Caenorhabditis elegans: one gene and its partner. The protein of the gene in region 1 binds, or shares a complex with, the protein of each later gene. Each region holds a gene or a part of one and is shown on either strand. Other genes may lie near its edges.

The links. The genes of interacting proteins can lie anywhere in the genome.
Region 2: csn-6 (region 1) and csn-5 share a complex: the UniProt entries of both Caenorhabditis elegans proteins name them as parts of the CSN complex.

Annotation. Positions count from the first base shown.
Region 1 is NC_003282.8:13,299,101-13,302,858, forward strand, and holds the start of csn-6 (COP9 signalosome complex subunit 6), read left to right. Parts: upstream 1-1,723; 5' UTR 1,724-1,729; coding exon 1,730-1,991; intron 1,992-2,043; coding exon 2,044-2,444; intron 2,445-3,456; coding exon 3,457-3,758. Other genes in the region: micu-1 (Calcium uptake protein 1 homolog, mitochondrial), read left to right, coding at 1-70, 120-913; kdp-1 (KASH (Klarsicht/ANC-1/Syne Homology) Domain Protein), read left to right, coding at 1,088-1,525. UniProt on the Caenorhabditis elegans protein: Component of the COP9 signalosome complex (CSN), a complex involved in various cellular and developmental processes.
Region 2 is NC_003282.8:5,647,383-5,651,140, forward strand, and holds csn-5 (COP9 signalosome complex subunit 5), read left to right. Parts: upstream 1-2,150; 5' UTR 2,151-2,153; coding exon 2,154-2,219; intron 2,220-2,269; coding exon 2,270-2,523; intron 2,524-2,571; coding exon 2,572-2,954; intron 2,955-3,200; coding exon 3,201-3,604; 3' UTR 3,605-3,697; downstream 3,698-3,758. UniProt on the Caenorhabditis elegans protein: Probable protease subunit of the COP9 signalosome complex (CSN), a complex involved in various cellular and developmental processes.

The DNA.
Region 1 (3,758 bases):
TTTTACAAGCTCGGCGAGAACGGTCTCATAAACTTCAGTGATTATCTGTTTCTCATGACTCTGCTCTCAAGTGAGTTTTAATACTCGTTTTTCTTTCAAAATATCATTGACTTTTCCAGCCTCTCACGCGGATTTCGCTCTCGCATTCAAAATCTTCGATGTAGATGGGAACGGTGCGCTGGATAAAGAAGAATTCACAAAAGTTCAACAGCTTATTATGTCCCAAACAACTGTAGGACAGCGTCATCGAGATCATATAACGCCAAACCAGTCGTTCCGTGTCGAGACAAACTCCGCTCTCGAAACATATTTCTTTGGAAAAGACGGAAAGGGGAGCTTGTCGTCTGAAAAATTTATCGAGTTTCAAGAGCGTCTACAACACGACATTTTAAAGATGGAATTTGAACGGAGAGATGCACTGGATAACCCGGATGGACTTATCAACGAAGATAGTTTTGCTCAACTTCTCCTTCTTCATGCTCAAATTAATGAGAAGAAACAGAAGCATATGTTGAAGCGGGTTAAACGAAGATTTAAAGGAGAAAATTTGAAAGGAATCAGTTTTGGAGAGACGAAAGCATTTTTCGAGTTTTTGTATCACATTGACGATGTAGATATTGCTCTACACTTTCATAAAATGGCTGGAATGTCGATAGATGCGAAGCTACTTCAACGAGTTGCGGTCAAAGTGACTGGAATACCTCTATCGGATCACGTTGTGGATGTGGTGATTACTTTGTTCGATGACAATTTGGATGGAAAATTATCACATGAAGAAATGGTTGCTGTGATGAGGAGAAGAATGCGTAGAGGTTTAGAGCGACCAAGAGATACTGGACTTTTCCGTTTGTTTGATGCAGTTCTGGAATGTGGAAAACGAGCTTATCACGCCAGTCCTCTTCCATTTTATTAGTGGTGCCCATGGCCACTGTAAATACTTGTTTATAAATAAAGCTTTTCATTCTTTTTAACAAATTATATTTGTTATGTTCATAAAAAGTGTTCGTTTCACTTTTCTTATCTTAATTTCATTTTTTTATTCTTTATTTCTTTCTCCACATTTTAAAACACATTTTTCAGGAAAATCATGTCGTTGGCTTTGAGAAAGACTTTGGGCGTCGCTCGCTTTTCCATGAGAACCGCCAGCTTCCAGGCTGTTCCAACCAACGCCGGAAAGACCCCACCAACCCTCGAACAATTCGATCCACTGAACCCAGGAGAGTGGCAACTCGGAGCCGGAGGAAAGATCCTTCCACGTCTGCCAGAGGGAACCAAATGCGGAAACCTTGTCATGGGAAAGTACGGACTCTACGATCCAATCCTCAAGAAAAGAGTTGATACCTACGCCAATGCTCTTCTCGAAGGAAAGAAGTCCGAAGAGGCTGGACCATTCGATGTCGCTGTCAGCAAGATCGCCAAGGTCCTTTCCTACATCTGCTTTGTCATCGCCATCTACAACCTCATCTCGTTGGTCAACGGAACTCCACTTCCACCACTTAGCCACGTCAAGGCTCCAGGATCCTAAATAATTTCCACTCGATTGCATTATCTCTTTTTTGTAGGAAGTTTTATGTTCTGTAAAACTTATGTCAATGTGAATCAATAAAATTCCCGTTTAGCTTGTTTTTCCACCAGTGAATCCAGGAATATTTTCAAAATTTCCAAATCATTATCTGGCTTGAAACAAAAAAACCGATTTCGAAACCAAATTTCGAAATAATTTTCAGAAATGGCATTGAACGCACCAAGCGGGAGCTGTAGCTCGAAGGTGCTTTTGCATCCTTTGGTTATTATGCAAATGTCCGAACACTACTCCAGAACAAAGGTCCAACAGGGTCCTACTGTGAAAAAAGTGTTCGGAGCAATTCTCGGACGGCAGAATGGACGACAAGTCGAGGCGATCAATTCATTTGTTCTGAAAATGGAGACAGAAGAAATGGCTGAGCCGGTTACTTTTAGCACGGAGCATCTCCTTCAAAGAGCAGATCAATGTCAGTTTTACTCTGTTCTTGCTCATTTTAGTTTTTTTTCCCCAAATTTCAGATCTGGAAGTGTTTCCCGAGCTCCAAGTTATCGGTCTTTATTGTGCTGGGGAGGATGATAATCTGACTCCCGAAGAGAAACCTCTTCTCTCAAAACTCACCAATGCGGTTCGCAATTCAGAGAAAGCCGGACAAATCGACGCGACACTTTTCCTTAAACTCAACTCTATCACTGCTGGAACCACTCGTAAACTTCCACTTTTCGCGTTTGAAGCAGACGTGACTGATCAGGAGAAGCATAAGCCAATTGAATGGATTTTAGTGTCGGAAGAAAGTGAACGTGTCGGTGTTAATCATATCGCTAAGTTATCAACGAAACATGGAAAAGACGGGAAATCAGTTGGAAAGAAACACGCGGAGGCTCAAGATGCAGCAATGAGCATGCTTCAGAATCGGGTTGATGTGCGTTCGAGAAATTGGAGGCCAGAAAAAGACAAAATTTCATAATGAGACTTCTGAAAATGCTGTTTAGCGGTTCAAAAATTTTAAAATAATACCTAAAATTCGCTAAAATGCATATTTCGATCTTATCTCGCATTAATTCGTTGATTTAAGACACATTTTCAGTCGATTGACACCTAATTTTGGAAAAAATGTTTGAAAAAAGTACCTCCATTTACTAGTAATTGCGAGCTAAACGACTAAAATATGTAACAACAGCTGCTGCGACATGAAAAGTTTGCGAAATTTCAGAATTTAGACAGTTTTGGCTCTTATTTTTTTTTGAAATTTTGACATACTTAAAAAGTTTATTAATATTATTTTGAGAAATCTCGTTATGAAAATCAATACAGCAGCAAACTAAAGTGGAATAGTCGAAATAGTTTTACTGCTTTATTAGACTCACAATTGACTGAAAACACCGAATTTCATAATGAAACTTCTTGAAAACGTCTCAAAAAAAAGTTATGACGGCTCAAAAAATAGCCTAAATGTAGTTAAAATTTGAAATTTGACCGACTTGTCAAGCGGCTGGAAACTAATTTTTTGAAATCTCCATCTAATTTTGAGTATAAAATTTAAATATCTTGCGTTTTCAACTTCATTTATGTATTTTAAAGCCGATGGACGGCGATATTTTTAATTTTTTTTTTACGAAATCTCGCCGTCCATCGACTTTAAAGTACCCAAATCGAGTTAAAAACGCAAGATAATGACATTGTATGCTCAAAATTTGACGGTGCTTTCAAAAAAAAAAATTGTTTCCAGCCGCTGCAACATTGCAAGACGGTCAAATTTCAAATTTTAACTAATTTTAGGCCATTTTTTGAGCCGTCATAACTTTTTATTGAGAAATTTTCAAGAAGTTTCATTATGAAATTCGGTGTTTTCAGACAATTTTGAGTCTAATAAAGCAATAAAACAATTTCGACTACTCCGCCTTTAATTTTTTTTACAAAAAAATAATTTTCAGCTAATCGTTGCCTATCTCGAAAAAGTGCAAGACGGAACACTTCAACCGAATTTTGAAATTTTGAAGGAAGCTAACTTGCTTGCTCAAAAGCTCAAAACCATTGATCGATATGCTGCTGAGTTCACTGATAGTTTCGAAAAGGAAGAGAAAACAATGACCGTATTCTCTCTGATGCCAAGATTGACAACTCTTCTCGGAAATATGCAAAATGTGTGGAACAAGTTGTCAGCTCAAAGAGCCGATCTTCTCGCCGACGATGGATTCCATGGAAAATCGACAAGCCGTTGGGCTCATCCGGTTCG
Region 2 (3,758 bases), 7.7 Mb from region 1:
GATATTTTTCAAAACTAAGTTTTAGAATTCTATGTAGTTTTCCGAAACACTAACCCGGAGTAATTGAGCGTGCAAAGTTTCTCGTTTTCTGTGACAAATCCACTCTTCTTAACATCAATAATTTCAATATTTTCCTTTCTAAAACACGAATTCCAATTGTAATAGGTGTACTGAATTGAAATATATCCACAGCTCCAGTTACAGTAAGATCTGTTATGTTGTGTTGTGGAAGAGATTCTATGAATAAAATTCGAATTTCTGCAAAATTGGTATCTTGAAAAAAGAGCATTGCAATTAATTGTATAAATGATGGAATGTAGATGAGAAATATGAGAACTTGAAGAATACATCGGGAGATCTCTTGATGTTTCATCACATAAAAACGGTATGCAAAAGATAGAAAAATGAGACAAAGAGCATGAGTGTGGAAATGTAGAAGGGCTCCGAATCTGGAAAAAGTTTTTTTGGAGATTTAAAAAATTGGAGTATTCTGTCATTGAAACCTATGCAAGAAAAAAGTTTGATTCAGGCGCATAAGAGAGCCTATAAGTGGGTGGAGACTGTTTTTTTAAACTATCTTTGTTGGGGAAACCTTTTTTTTATTAATTTCGATGGATTTAATTTGCTAAAATATGTGGAAAAATATATACTATAATGGAAAAATATTTCAAACTGCTTTTAGTTAAATTTTTCAAAAACTTTTTGGAACTAATTTTTAATTGATGTCCTAGGCTTCAGCAATCGTAATTTTGGATGTTTACCAAAAATAAATTTTTCTTTGAGTTTTCGAAATTATTAATTAATTTTATAAATTCTAAAATTTCAAACCTGCAGAGATCCATGAAATTTCTCAAAAAGGGAAAAGTTTCGCAAAAAAAATTTGGCAATTTGCCGAAACTCTGACTGAAATTTTTAAACACTCTATACATTTCTTAAGTGTATGTTTAGATTTTAATTTTTTTCATCGATTTAAAGGATTTTTAAAAATTCCTTTTGACAATGATCCATTTTTATTGTTTTTCTATAGTTCAAGACTTAATTTTTTTTAAATTTAGCCCTCTCCCATTTAAAAAATTTTTCATCTTACTAAACCCGTCCAAACCTCGTTTAAATAATGTTAAGATAAATATAAAAATAGGGCAGTAACAATTTGATCTACCTACATATAATTGTTTTTCAAATTTCTTCTGTTTCAAAAACTTCTTGAAACGGGAACATTTTTCCATTGACATTCATTTTTTTTTCCACGTCAAACTCACATATCAAAACAAAACTGTTCTCCTAAATTTGAGCAAATTCCATAGGAAATATAAAATAATTGTTTCCCAGCTGGAATAACTCGTTGTCCAATCAGAAATCCACTAAGACATGCTCCAAAATTAGTGAATGCCATGTTAATAATGACAATTGAGAATGTTCTTATAATAGACGGACTATGAAATATTGCCACGTGGAGGAGGAATAAATTAACACAATATCCTGAAACAGTCACCAACGAGTTGATAATCAGGAAAATTGCGGATAACATTTTTTCTGCGAAATGTTTTCTTGCTCAGCTTGTGGCTTTTATAAAACTTTTTGCTTGCAGTAGCAAGTATTCATGAATATTCTTCTGGAAGATTTAAGGGTCATTGATGAGGTTCAGTATTTTGTAGTATACATTCTAGACTACACCAGATTGATGATATGTTTCTGGAATTGAGCAAAAACCTTTGAACTGGAATGCCAACTTCTCTAAAAGGGATCCACAATGCAACAAGCTGGATAACCAGTCTTTAGGACATTTAAAACTTAAATATCTTATTCCGCCATAATCATTTTTAATACATTTCTCCTATTTATTTGTTCTTCTATGAAATCAAGTCTTCCAATTGTAGTACATCCGCTTGGTGTCGGTTTACGGTAAACAACGCGCACCAACGGAAAGTTGGAGTGTCGTTGTTAGAATAACAACAGATATTTTCTCATTTCAAATTTCAGATTTTTTTTAGTTTTTGTTGGTTTCAATCGATTTAAAAAAATTATAATCTGAGAATTACTTAATTTGTTTCAATTCTTCATGTAAAATCATCTCATTATCATTTTTCATGCCCTTATCGTCTTATTGATTGTATTTCTTAATAATATTAGCAAGGTAATGCTTTTTTCAGACGATGGAAGTTGATAACGTCAAGCCATCCAGCTCAGTTCCGCAGAGAAACTGGGAAAAAGAAAATAACGTCAGTTTTTCTTAAATATTTTTAGATTTTTAATATTATTTGTGTTTCAGGTCCAAAATGTCGATTCGATTTTCGAGTACAACAACAAGCAGCAAGTAGAAATCAGAAATGCAAAACCATGGGATAAAGATCCACATTATTTCAAACAAATCAAAATATCTGCAATTGCTCTTCTGAAAATGACAATGCACGCGAAAAGAGGTGGAAATCTGGAAATTATGGGACTTTTGCAAGGTCGAATCGATGCTAATTCTTTCATTATTCTTGATGTATTCGCTCTTCCAGTTGAGGGTACTGAGACCAGGTGAAATGATTTACGCTGGGAGTAATTTCGAACATTTTAAATTTCCAGAGTCAATGCCCAAGCTCAAGCCTACGAGTACATGACAGTTTATTCTGAAATGTGCGATACGGAAGGTCGAAAGGAGAAAGTCGTCGGATGGTATCATTCTCATCCTGGATATGGATGCTGGCTATCCGGAATCGACGTCTCAACGCAGACACTCAATCAAAAGTTCCAAGAGCCATGGGTTGCTATTGTTATTGATCCATTGAGAACTATGTCTGCCGGAAAGGTTGACATTGGCGCATTCCGTACATATCCAGAAGGATACCGTCCACCAGATGATGTTCCATCAGAGTATCAGTCGATTCCTCTCGCAAAGATTGAGGATTTCGGTGTACATTGCAAACGATACTACTCGCTTGACGTCAGCTTCTTCAAATCACAACTTGGTAGGTGAAATTTATATTTATCGGGAATGAATTACATAATAAAAATACGATAAAGGACAATCAACTGTAAAATCCAATATTCAAAGCTTTGTTTTTTGGATTGTTTAAACTTATTGGAATCGAATAGCTTGAAATTTTAAACTTTTAAAATAAGAATAATAATATTAAACATCTCAACGGGAAATTGGTCTCAATTGAAAAAGAAACATCTCCGATTCTTTCCCGTTTTAATAATTAAAATTCCAGACGCTCACATCTTGACTTCTCTGTGGAACAGCTATTGGATTTCCACTCTCAGCAGTTCTCCACTCTTCTCAAACGTCGAATTCCTCAACAATCAAATTCAAGACATCAATCAGAAGCTGTCGGCCGTCGATAAGAAGCTCCAATTGAATGACAGAAGTGTCGATGGACATGAAGCTTTGATGAAAGTCGTGACCGATGCAAAGGCAGTCGGAGATGAACTTGAAACTGGAAGAATCTCTCATCTCGTGAAACAACTATTGTTTGCTCGCCAAGCTGGTGGTGGCTGTGGATGTTCCCATGCTTCTGCAGGATCTCCAATGGATATCGCCGTGGCAACTGAACCCGAGAAGGCTGGTCCTTCTCCATCTGCTCCGGAGCCCGCTGTTGAGATGGCCGATGCTTAATTCTCGTTTTGTCTATATTTATAAATCAAGTCCCCCTGTTTTCTGTGTTAAATTCACCAACATCATTTTATTTGAATGAAATTTTTGCTTTTCAATGATTGATTTTTTCAAATTTATTTCCATAAATGAGAGATTCAAACGATATATGGACATA